Linked DNA regions of Tribolium castaneum. The protein of the gene in region 1 purifies or fractionates together with the protein of each later gene. This does not show direct contact. Links are inferred from orthologs where the notes say so. Each region holds a gene or a part of one and is shown in the gene's direction. Other genes may lie near its edges. The genes, in order: Set1, sxc and CXXC-type zinc finger protein 1.

The links.
Region 2: the proteins of Set1 (region 1) and sxc purify together in Homo sapiens (affinity purification with mass spectrometry; 4 studies listed by BioGRID and IntAct, with this or other methods). This does not show direct contact. The link is inferred for Tribolium castaneum from reciprocal best matches to the Homo sapiens genes SETD1A and OGT.
Region 3: the proteins of Set1 (region 1) and CXXC-type zinc finger protein 1 purify together in Homo sapiens (affinity purification with western blotting; 16 studies listed by BioGRID and IntAct, counting the BioPlex papers as one, with this or other methods). This does not show direct contact. The link is inferred for Tribolium castaneum from reciprocal best matches to the Homo sapiens genes SETD1A and CXXC1.

What each region holds. Positions count from the first base shown.
Region 1 is NC_087401.1:8,403,633-8,407,417, reverse strand, and holds part of Set1 (histone-lysine N-methyltransferase SETD1B), read left to right. Parts: coding exon 1-597; intron 598-646; coding exon 647-810; intron 811-3,785. UniProt on the Homo sapiens protein: Histone methyltransferase that catalyzes methyl group transfer from S-adenosyl-L-methionine to the epsilon-amino group of 'Lys-4' of histone H3 (H3K4) via a non-processive mechanism.
Region 2 is NC_087394.1:6,432,276-6,436,681, reverse strand, and holds the start of sxc (UDP-N-acetylglucosamine--peptide N-acetylglucosaminyltransferase 110 kDa subunit), read left to right. Parts: upstream 1-1,458; 5' UTR 1,459-1,604; coding exon 1,605-1,728; intron 1,729-1,781; coding exon 1,782-1,992; intron 1,993-4,406. UniProt on the Homo sapiens protein: Catalyzes the transfer of a single N-acetylglucosamine from UDP-GlcNAc to a serine or threonine residue in cytoplasmic and nuclear proteins resulting in their modification with a beta-linked N-acetylglucosamine (O-GlcNAc).
Region 3 is NC_087398.1:9,598,853-9,603,184, forward strand, and holds CXXC-type zinc finger protein 1, read left to right. Parts: upstream 1-1,477; 5' UTR 1,478-1,587; coding exon 1,588-1,611; intron 1,612-1,664; coding exon 1,665-1,810; intron 1,811-1,860; coding exon 1,861-2,205; intron 2,206-2,254; coding exon 2,255-3,008; intron 3,009-3,714; coding exon 3,715-3,948; 3' UTR 3,949-4,023; downstream 4,024-4,332. Other genes in the region: uncharacterized protein LOC107397902, read right to left, coding at 1-418, 472-663, 725-857, 910-1,249. UniProt on the Homo sapiens protein: Transcriptional activator that exhibits a unique DNA binding specificity for CpG unmethylated motifs with a preference for CpGG.

The sequences.
Region 1 (3,785 bases):
AAGACCTGAAGGAGAGCGCCGATGATGTGAAGAAGAAAGACAGAGATAGGGATAGAGACAGAGACCGGGAGAGAGATAGGTATAGGTATCGTGAATTTGCCACGCCCAGTAGTTCGGATATGGGTTATGGCACCGCCTCTAGTGAATTTTCGGCCAGTTACGGATCGGCAGGTACCACGCCATTGGCTTACGATTATTCACACATGGCGCATCAATACCCGTACGCCACGCCCACTTATCACTGCCCACCCACAGTGTGGCCAATGGCCACGCCCCAATGGCCTTCAGACATGTGGGACCGCACCCCCATTCCCCCCAAATGGCCCGAAAAAGAACACACAGTTAAGGAATACAAAGAGGAGAAAAAACGTAATAACATTGCACCCCCCACTAAAAACAAGAAAGAAAAGGAGGAAGAAGAGAGCAAAACACTGGACTTAGACACGAGAATTGCCCTTCTGTTAAAGGGGCGTGGCACGGGTGATAAAGCCCCGCCTTTTTTACTACTAGGCGGGGATTCGGACGACGAATCAAAGTCTTCCTTTGACAGAATGCCCAAATCGGTCCCAATCCCAACATCTATTGACAGTGATGATGGTATTTGGTGGTGTGTTAGTGTTTCAATTTTGTAAAGTTGGTATTGCAGACCGGTCAAGTATCTCACTAAGTGACATGCCCATCAACCCCCCGGCCCCCGAGTTTGACTCAAATTCGGTCAAGTGTGACGATACAGCCCCCTTGTCAACGCCACCGTCGCCGTTTTTGTCCAAAGAAGTTTACCTGGAGTGTCACAAGGTGGCGCTGGAACAAGTGAGTAGCCATTTTCTATTTTTTTAATAAACAGTAACCGTAAATGGCGGAAATATTTAAAAAATATGTTTAAATGTATTATCAGCAGTTGTTAATCCTAATTGCGGTTTTTTCAGTTGAAAAATTCTAACCTAAAATTCACACACTTCGCTTATTATTTTTTTTTTGAGCCCAATTTCTGTTCCCGATGATCATTGCTTATATTTTTTGATGGTGTAATTGTTTTCATAATACTTTGTAATGAAAAATGATTTTTTTTCACTTTTTATTCACTTTTAAATTCCAACACAAAACACTATAAACACAAAAAACTGCATAAACAAAGTCAAAGCTAGTATTTACCACCACATACTTTTAAACTGACTCTCTATGCAAGAAATGGTTATTAAACACGCAAAATTGCTAAACAATTACTGTTTTCGACATAGTACAAATTATCATCACCAGGGGGCATCTAGTTAATTTTAGGATACTAATGAACTTCTAAGTAAATAATAGTCATTTTCTAAGTAAAATATTGTAAATGCAAAGTAAAATACTCTAAATGCTAGGTCCTAAATAAAATTTGATAGGCAAAACTTGGTAAATAATTTAATTGCTACTTGGTACTATAGTATTTTTAAATAAGATTTGCTAAGAAAAAATAATATTGTATTGTACGTAGGTATTTAACACTTACTTGCTAAGCTAAATGTTTGATAATATGCTAGATTATAGGTAGTATTTATAAAATGTAGCAAAAGCTTTTACTATAATTCTATCTCTTTCTTTCTAATGAAATATAATCGACTATCCTTAATTATTACAAATATTAGCTGTTTCAAAACTATAAAAACGCCTACGTCGCACTTTACTTTTGGTACACGCTGGTTTACTTCCACTTTATAAATACTACCCATTGACCAAAAACAGTTTTTTACGTGAAAATTCGATTCATTTACACATGTTTAAAAAAATTGTTTTTTCTTAAAGAGATTAAAGAATGACATAACCCAGTTGCCCTTCTTATTAAACAAAGGAATTTACAATGATAGATTTTTTCTGAAATATACAGGGTGATTCTTTTAAGGCCTACAATAGATACTGTTGAAATTTTAATAGAACTAAAGCTTTAAAATTTTGTATATATGATCCAAATCGACCATTCTAAATTCAACTAAATTATATTTAAAATGGCTCAGCTTACGGAACTATAAAAAAATGACGCCAAGTTTGAAATTTTAAATAGTAACCGAACATTTTTATTGCATTTTTGAATTTACCTTCTCAAACTGAGTAAAATTTACCTAAGTTGTTGGTACTTGTCTGTTAGTTTTTAACATAATTATGTCAATTTTTTTGTTAAAATTTTCATTTACAAGGGTTTATCTAAGATATCACAGCCCTTGAACCCTTTGCAATAAGCGAATAATTTTTTTGAATTGGATAACCCAAGGTTTGAAGAGTTTTTTAGAATTTCCGAAATTGTCAACTATCAAAATTTATGGCTAGGGTGATTTTTTCAAAATGGTTTTCAAAAAACTGCTGTAACTCAATTTTTTCAAATGGAACGACCCGATTTTCTTAACAGTAATCGAAAGAATATATATACTTGTGGTGACTTTTATCAATACGTTTTATACCTATCTCTTACAGTTTTTGAAAAAAATCACAAAAAACGGCTTTTAGTAGACCTTGTAAAATTCAACAATTGTCAAACTTCAATATTTTATTTAGCTTTTAGCTGGTTCATTATCGAATAAGCGAATTTAATTATAATAATTTATTTATTACAACTTAGTGAATTATGTAAAGTAACTCAGTCTGCTTTCGAATTTTGAACTTCTCAAATGAAAATGGTTAACAAATAGGACATTTCTTTTAATTAATAGCATAATTTTATCGTAGTTTTCAAAAGTTTACGTTTTTAAAAATGAAAATAATGAGCCAAAATTCTGTTTTTTGCGATTATTTCAAATACTGTAATGGATAAATATAGAAGATGTTAACAAAAGTCTGCATAAAAATTGACGTTCTTTTGATTGTCATTGAAAAAAACAGTTATTCCATTTGAAAAAACTGTTTTGTTATCATTTTTTAATCATCATTTTAAAAAAATCATAGTAGCCTTGCAATTTGACAGTTGACAATCCTAAAGGCTTGAGAAGACCCTCTAAACATTTGGCAAAGAGAAATATTTACTTATTGTAAAGGGTTCAGGAGCTGTAATATTTTAAATGAACCCCTGTAAGTGAAAATTTGTATAAAAAATTGACATACGTCAAAAACTATGGCAGATAAGTACTAACAACTAGAGTACATTTTACTCAATTTCAAGAGGCGAATTCAAAAATGCAATAAAAATAGGTGGTTACTATTAAAAATTTCAAAGTTGGTACCAATTTCTCGTAGTTCCAGAAAATCAGCAATTTTGAAAATAATTTAAGGTAAGTGAATACAATATCGTCATGCTAAGCTTCGATGGATATTTTCTCTTAAATAGTCAAATTAAAAAAAAAAGTTCAAACAGTTAAAAGATGTTCCTGGCATATTTGTACATTCTATGAATATTTTTTTTAAAACATTGCACATTGGCGTTATTGTCTCAATAACGCCACATAATACTATTCCTACAAAACATTATTTTTATCCAAAAATTTTCAAAGAAACTCAACTTTTCAAAAGTAATGCTTTTTGAAAAAAAGGAAACATAAATAAAACTCTAAATAAACAAACAACTAAACATAAAAGTAAGAAAGAACTTGCTGTATTATCGGGCATACCGTTTCTAACAGCTGCTAGAGCATGCTGTATATTTTCTTCAGACCATGTTCCTCTGATACCTCGGTTGCGGTTCCTGACTTTATTCATGAGGATTATGTAAAAAAAAATCTATGAACTTTTAGTAGTAATGCAAAATATCAAGAAAAATACACGTAGTTGGCAATATCGTCATTGGCGGTATTGCTACGCAATTGTTATGCCGGTATTACAGA
Region 2 (4,406 bases), on another chromosome or scaffold:
AAAAAATCCTTAAAAAAAGTAAAAAAAAACACGCAGTTGTGGCTTAGTTTGGCAATCTTTTAGATTGTTTTATCTAAAGTTGTGTGAAATAATTACGTTTCTAGATAAAAAAAACGTAATAATATAACGCAAAGAACAAAAAAATAATTTCAACTTTGACCTAAATTACTCAATTTTGTGACAAAATTTCGATATCATGTCGCAAAAATGGTTTTTTAAAGTAATTAGGGAGTTTTTGGCTTGAAAAGAAAAAAAATAACGTAATTTTTCAGTCATTATCATTATTTATTAATGTTCAGCAATTTTGATTGTCTAATATACTACAGAGTAATTCAAAAAAGTCGGAAATACTTTCAAAGAAATTTAGATTAAAAACAAACTGAATTAAAAAAAATTCTATGACAAAAAATTGTTAGAGCCCTTTTTCACGAGATATAGCTCTTCTAAGTTAAATTTTTAAGTTAAGTTTTTGCTGCTTTAGATCGTATGTTTTTAGCTTTAGTTAGCAGAAACGACAGCTCTTGGAACATTAAACAAATACATATTGAAAAAATCAACAATTAATGTTTCATGATGTACAAAAGAAATAAAAAACTTGCAAATTTGACAATAAATTAAATTCGACGTCATAGGAAACAAAAGAACAAAAAATATATCAAAATTGTTTGAAAAAAAAATCTGACTTAATTTTTGTCTTTTAACACCATATGAGAGATGGTCTGTCACTTTTGAATTACCCTGTATTTTTAAGTACTAATATGTATAACGCAAAAACAGTAAAAAAATGTTGTCTTTACCACAACGTGGTGATTTTCTAAAAAAAAAAACACAAAAAAATTAAACAGTCATTAATGGCTTTTTGAATTGTTAACAATTGCTAACAATTACGGCAAAAAATACACAATTCCGCAATCTCTTAATCTAATTATTAAAAAAATTGTTATTATTATTTTCGGTTTGTTAGATTTTGTATTTGGGTAACCCTGTGCTTTCCCTTGCCTGAATTTTGCTAGTAATTAAATTTTCCCACATTGGAGTTTGATTTTATTGACAAATATTTGAAGTAATATTTAATGTGTCACTTATTGTCGCAATTTGAAATTCGCATTTGCAAAATCAAAATTTGCGCCATTTAGTGATTTCCCCGCATTCGGGCGTTTTCGTGCCATTCAAGGCCTACCGATCGCACCTCATCGGGCGTGAAATTGATAAGACGCCTTGTGGTTTTTTTGTGCTCCGAAGCTCGTCACAGCCCGGGAATAGTGCAAATGGTCCCATCTGGTAAATCCCATTGAATCGCAAAAAATCGTCGTGGGCCCCTTCGCACCCATTGACGACCAAATCCAGGTAAATAACGGACCATGGAATGGAAATTTCCACTCGCTTCCACCAATCACACGCCAGCTCCAGCAGCTCAAAGACCAATCAGGTCGCAGCTGCGCTTTGACCACAGTTCTTCAGTTGTCTCTCTTCAGTGGCGGCCATTTGAGGCCATCAGAGAATCGATTGTTGTAATTTAGAGCGTTTTTTGGTGAAAAACTGTGGTGAAAGTGTGCAGAAATAGGTCAGATAGGGTTTATGTTGGTGTAACGGCGTGCTTTACCATGCAGGACCAGATTGTGGTCGATGGTCAGAACCATCTCAGTTCTGGAACAAACAGCGGGTTGCCCATCACCGGTAGTCCCATTGTCTTAAAGATGAATGATGTTCCGCAGCTTTCGTCCGTTGGTGAGTCTTTGTGATGGTGAAATTGGCAATTGTTTACGTATTTTGTGTGTTAGGGCTTCTTGAACTTGCCCATCGTGAGTACCAAGCTGGGGATTATGAAAATGCAGAGAGGCACTGTATGCAGTTGTGGAGACAGGATCAGACCAATACGGGGGTTTTACTGCTTTTGTCAAGCATACATTTCCAGTGCAGGCGTTTAGACAAATCCGCACATTTCAGCACTTTGGCAATCAAACAAAATCCACTCCTCGCCGAAGCTTACAGGTATTTTTCATTGTTTTGGCTTATTCCATGAGTGTTCTACAGTTTTTTCTAAATCTAAAAACCTATAAGAGGTTTCTGAATGATTTGTTCACTGTAGAAAGTTAGCGAAGTTGGTGTCCTCTAGCGGACTTTTCGCAACTACAGAAATACAGGGGTGGCTTTAAAAATTGTGTAAAAATTTGAAGAGGTGATAGTGGGGGGGAGAAAAATGTGAAAATAACTAAAATTTGCATTCTCTAAGATCCCTGATATCGTCTAAGTTTGGAAAAATGCTGAAACAGGTCAATTTTGTATTAAAGGGGGACCAAGTTTTATTTTTTAGAGTTCTTTCTTTAAAGTTATTTGCACCCCTCTAGTGCTCAGAGCCACCCCTTCAAGAAATTTCAATTGCCACAGGGGTCGAGTGACGCAGCTGCTTTCATACTCTATTCAACTATGTTTTTTTTTCAATTTTGATCGATTTATTTTTTTGAGAATTACGGGAATTGTTTTAGGATTATAGAAATCTCGTTTAACGACTGTTTAAAATTTTGAACGTTTTTTGGTTTGGATTATGAAAGAAATGGTACGTTATCTGTGCTAGTGTGTTTACTTTTTAAAATAAACAAAACAACTGCCATTTAAGTTTTAGTTGAATAAACGCTTAGAAAATGTAAATTTTTGGTCATTTTCGATCAAATTTTGATTTTTTTTGGGTTTTTATCCTAGAACTTGCAAAAAATGTCTTCTTTGACTTTGTCTTCTTTTTCGTTTTAGTTTAATAAAAATAAAAAAGAAATCCTAATGTTTGATCTAAAAACGTGTTTAAATCCTCGAAACTTGTAATTTTTGACATAATTGTGTGATTTATTGACTTACTTTTTAAGAAATTTTGCACATAATTGAGTTTTTGCTATATAAACGCTTAGAAAATAAATGTATATTTTTGGTCAATTTTGACCAAAGTTGGTGATTTTTTCATTTTAGTTTAATAAAAATAGAAAGGAAGACCTAATGTTTGGTTTAAAAACGTGTTTAAATCCTCGAAACTTGTATTTTTTGCCATAATTGTGTGATTTATTGACTTACTTTTTAATTTTTAATAAATTTTGCACAATAATTGAATTTTTGCTGAATAAAGGCTTAGAAAAAGTAAATTTTTGGTAAATTTTGACCAAAGTTGGTGATTTCCTCGTTTTAGTTTAATAAAAATAGAAAGGAAAACTTAATGTTTGGTCTAAAACTTGTTTAAATCCTCTAAACTTGCAAGAATAATGTAATTTTTGACATAATTCTGTGATTTATTTATTGGCTTTTTAAGAAATTTTTGCACAATAATTGAGTTTTTTGCAAAATAAACGCTTAGAAAAGGTAAATTTTTGGTCAGTTTCGACCAAAGTTGATGATTTTTTCGTTTTACTTTAATAAAAATAGAAAGGAAAACCTAATGTTTGGTCCAAAACGTGTTTAAATCCTCGAAACTTGTAAAAATAATGTAATTTTTGACATAATTCTGTGATTTATTGGCTTACTTTTTAAGAAATTTTGCACAATAATTGAATTTTTGCTGAATAAAGGCTTAGAAAAAGTAAATTTTTGGTCAATTTTAACCAAATTGGTGATTTCCTCGTTTTAGTTTAATAAAAATAGAAAGGAAAACCTAATGTTTGGTCTAAAACGTGTTTAACTCTTCGAAACTTGCAAAATTAATGTACTTTTTGACATAATTCTGTGATTTATTGGCTTACTTTTTAAGAAATTTTGCACAATAATTGAGTTTTTGCTAAATAGACGCTTAGAAAAGGTAAATTTTTGGTCATTTTCGATCAAAGTTGGTGATTTTTTCGTTTTAGTTTAATAAAAATAGAAAGGAAAATCTAATGTTTGGTCCAAAACGTGTTTAAATTCTCGAAACTTGCAAAAATAATGTAATTTGTGACATAATTCTGTGATTTACTGGCTTACTTTATCAGAAATTTTGCACATAATTGAACAAAGGCTTGGGAAAAAAATTTTTTTGTCAATTTTGACCAAAGTTGGTGATTTTTTTGTTTTAGTTTAATAAAAATAGAAAGAAAAACCTAATGTTTAGTCTAAAACGAGTGTAAATCCTCGAAACTTGCAAAAATAATGTAATTTTTGACATAATTCTCTGATTTATTGGCTTACTTTTTAAGAAATTTTGCACAATAATTGAGTTTTTGCTAAATAAACGCGTAGAAAAAGTAATTTTTTGGTCAATTTTGACCAAATATGGTGTTTTTTCGTTTTAGTTTAATAAAAATAGAAAGGAAAACCTAATGTTTCAATTTTTATTTTTATTTAGTTTCTCAATTTTTCATTTTCAGGCGGTATGAACTACTTTTGTACCTGATTTTGACAATGATAATTAAAAAAAATCGGATAATGCATATGGTTATACTGTAGCTCAAAAA
Region 3 (4,332 bases), on another chromosome or scaffold:
GAGTCGTAATTTTACTAGGGTTAAAAAGAGTTGGTCAATTCTAGTTAACTTTTGGACTGTCCATTTGTGGTAATATTTTATGTCCAACTTTTCGATTAAGTGAAACAATGCTTCGAAAATCTGGCTATTGGGAAGACCGGTATATAAAACAATGAGTTTGTCATTTCCTTGAACATTTTCATAGCAAAATCGTACTGTCAGATATTGTATTTTTGCTTTAAGTTCAGCATTTTCCTTTTTGAGAAAATACATTTCTGCTTCAAGAGCCGCATGTGACACCAAGGGTGCTTGCACACCCATAGATTCTAACGGAGCATCTTGAATTATATCTGCTGGTGCTGCAACTACGGCTGTAGACGTCGATGGCACTTCCTCTAAATTCATTGTCGATGGTACTGTTTCTTCCGGTATATCAACACTATTCAAATGATCAAATTGTAAATCAATTTAAAACTAGGATTCACTTTTTACCTTAATGATTCAGCGGAACTAGAACAAGAAGGGAGTCCTTGTTTTTTCATCTTTTTTTTTTCTGGAGATTCCACTTGAAAATAGGCTCTTTTTGCGATATTGTGCAAAAATAATTCAGGACCATTTTCCTTTCTTCCATCCCGAAAATGGCAGCTGCAAACGTAGGCTCCTGGTCCGGGTTCTACATCTCTTCTACATTTAACAATGAAACAAGCAATTAAAAATTAATATCAAAACATCTATTAAAAATTACCTCAACAATTTTTTCCATAGTGCTCGTTCTTTTCCCGACTTAGGAAAACTAAAAAAATGGCATTTATCGCGAGTACTATAGTGTTTGCAATCTGGAGCCCAACACATTCCCATAGTTGTGATGTAAAAACCTACTACACATGAACTATCAAAGTATCGCAACAAAATATTATTCACAAATCATACCTAATGATGTACCACAAAAATGAGATAATGTCTTGGAAAAACAGAATTTTAAAAATTCAAGAACACGAAGATATGGAGAACGATCGGAAAAAACACGATAACAAAAGACACTCACGAAAGAAGCACAGAACTCACAACCCGTACTACTTTCAACCATGTATGTGCCTGAACCCTCTACCCTCGTATACCTGCTATTCATCCCTCGTGATGGGGGAGGGGGACAGAAAACAACCCGTTTATTGGGGTTGCGCCGGTTGCACCCCATGAATTCGTCATTCAGAAGAAATCCAATGTCATTAGTGTGGCAAACCATTTTTCCCTCAGTTTTAAAAGGCCACATAATAATTTACATCAATATGATGTCCAAATTAAGAAAAACTGAATTTTGAAGTTTGAAAAAAGTTAGGTTAGAAAAGGATTTATGTGTTCAACTTACAGAAATATTAGCTCAGTTGCTAAAATCTTTAAGAAACGACATTGCATTTTTCATAGCTATCATTTCTCTGTAAAAGTAATGTTCCTACACTTCTAGCATTAAAGAAATACGAAAAACTTTTAAATGCCCATAAGAAAAGCATTGAAAATGGCGATTGTTTAGCTTTAAGGTGCTGACCTACCTCAAATGTCTAACAGAGCTAGGAAAAGTGGCTAAAAGAAGCAAGGTTAAGTTAATTGAAGATGTCTCGAAAACGCGATATTTCGGTAATTTTTGGCATAAACCGGACAAAACTGTGTTTAATTTGCCTTGTTTTTAGCGCGAAGAGATCGCTAAACAGTTTCTGTTACCGGAGCGTCAATCCAAAATCGACACCCTCCTCAAGCAAGATGGTCAAGCTTATTGCATTTGTCGCTCCTCGGACAGCTCCCGTTTCATGATTGCGTGTGACGCCTGTGAAGAATGGTAAAAAACCACCTGCATGCCAACACATTGTTCAAATCATGCATTTCTAGGTACCACGGCGATTGCATGAACATCTCCGAAAAGGAGGCCAAAATGATCAAACAATACATTTGTATTCGCTGTTCCGAGGAGGACTCAACTCTGCAGACTCGTTGGCGGACCAAACGCGACGAAATCGCCAGTGCCAACACCAACACCGAGGAGCGCAAAGCCCGCAAACGCAAAGAACGAGGTGACACCAAAAACGACAAAAAAATGAAAAAATGCGGGGACTGTATGGGGTGTTACCGCACCGAGGACTGCGGGCGGTGCGACGTGTGCACGAGGCGGAGCCGTCACGGCTCCCCGCGCAACAAGGAGCGGTGCAAGCAGCGGATTTGCATAAATTACGGCGGGTGGGGTAGCCACGCCCCATGACTTGATTCTTGACCAATTGATTTGCAGGGGGAGGCGCAAGAGGCGGGATTCAAGCTCGGACAGGGAAGGCCCGCCCAATGCCCACCTCATGACCGACTATCCGCGCCAATGCTACGGGCCCACGTGTACCAATAGCGCCCGCTACGGCTCGAAATACTGCTCGGATCAGTGTGGCTTAAAGTTGGCAACCAATCGGATTTTGCAAGTGTTGCCACAGCGTATCCAAGAGTGGGCCCTGAGTCCCTGCTCTGCCGAAGAGTCCAATATCAAAGCTCTCGACCAAGTCAGGAAGCAACAGTTCGAAGTCAAACAGATTTTGCAAGAGTTGGACAGCCGGCATCGCGAATTGGACGCGATTATCGAGCGCGCCAAGAGCGCCACCATTGATCCGAACGCCGATTTCGACAACGACGAAGAGTCGGAAGTGTCGACCATGTATTGCATAACATGCGGACTCGAAATACATTCGAAAACGGCCATCAAACACATGGAAAAGTGTTTCAACAAGTACGAATCTCAAGCGAGTTTCGGGAGTATTTTTAAAACCAGAATTGAGGGGAATAACATGTTTTGCGATTTTTATAATCCAGCTAATCGGACTTATTGTAAAAGATTGAGGGTTTTGTGCCCAGAGCATTGCAAGGATCCGAAAATCGGCGAATATGAAGTCTGTGGCTGTCCATTGGTCACCAACGTTTTCGATCTGACAGGGGAGTTTTGTCGAGCGCCGAAAAAATCATGCGTTAAGCATCACGTTTGGGAGAAATTGAGACGGGCTGAGGTAAGATATTAAAAAAAAATGAAGTATTAATGCTACAATTAAGAAAGTTGCTCGAAAAAATCTACTTTTCCATCTTTTTTGCTTAGTAGAATTTGTATTGTATTGCAATATAGCTCAGGGTGGAATGTTAAGGCCGGCAAAAATATTTTGATTTTGATTTTGAAAAAAATACCTAGTAAATAGACGGGTTGCGTTTTTTTAAATTAATTGATGAAATTATTAGTTTTCGTCGTTTTTTTTTACTTTTTAAGTTCTTAATTGTTTAGTTTTAAAAAGTTTGTAGTTGTAGTTTCAATTCATGTTCATAGAAAATTCACCATCAATAATGGAAGAAAAAGCTTACGTAGTAAATAACACAAAAAAATGAAAAAAGTAAACGACAACGTAATATTTTAGAAAAAAGTTGTAAAAATGGTTACGTTTTCTGAAAAACAAAAATTTTTTAAATAAATAAAGGGTGATTTTTTAATAAATATCTTACTAAAGGAGATTGGTGCATGTTTGGTGACATTACAAAGAACTTTTTCAGGTTTTTTAATTTAATTTTCAGAACTACCTTGCATTTTTTGAGATTTGGGGTACAACAAAAAATGCCATTTGTCAATAAAAAGTGCCTTTTTTCACTTTGTTGACTTTTCTTTATTTTCATTAACTAATTTTTTTTTGAAGAAAAAAATGTCAGGCATTAATCGAGTTCAAATTTTAGATCGACTTGGAACGGGTGCGCCAGTGGTTGAAAATGGACGAACTTTTAGAAAAAGAGCGCCAAATTCGCAACACAATGGCCTCGAGAGCCGGAGTGCTCTCTCTGATGCTGCACTCGACATACAATCACGAAGTCATGGAACAAATAACAAAAGCGAGTCAGCAGGACCAAAACGCGATGCAAAGAGAGTTGGCTAAGAGATTCCGCACGTCTACCAAACCACGTTTCACGTAAAAACTTTATTTAAGAAAATATGTACAACATTATCATTGCTTGCTTGATTTCGGCAATATAGTTTGTTTGATCTCATCCAGGAGTTGTTTTCTCTTTTCTGCCTCGGCTTTGACCCTGTTTATGGCGATTTGCGCCCCGGCATGTCCCGTATTCAGCAAACTTTTAATAAAGGTAAAAATTGCGTCCGAATTATCCCTGAAACAAGTAAGAATCAGTATGGAAAGTCACCGGTTTTACACACTTTTTGGCAACCGGGGAGCCGGAGTCGCTCTCTGCAGGTTCCGGTAAAGCTAGCGCCGAAAAGTTGGCTAAAAGCACAACGAAGATGAAGAGACTGACACAAAACATTGTCGGTTCGTTACTGTTTCAGCTGATTGAGCGTTT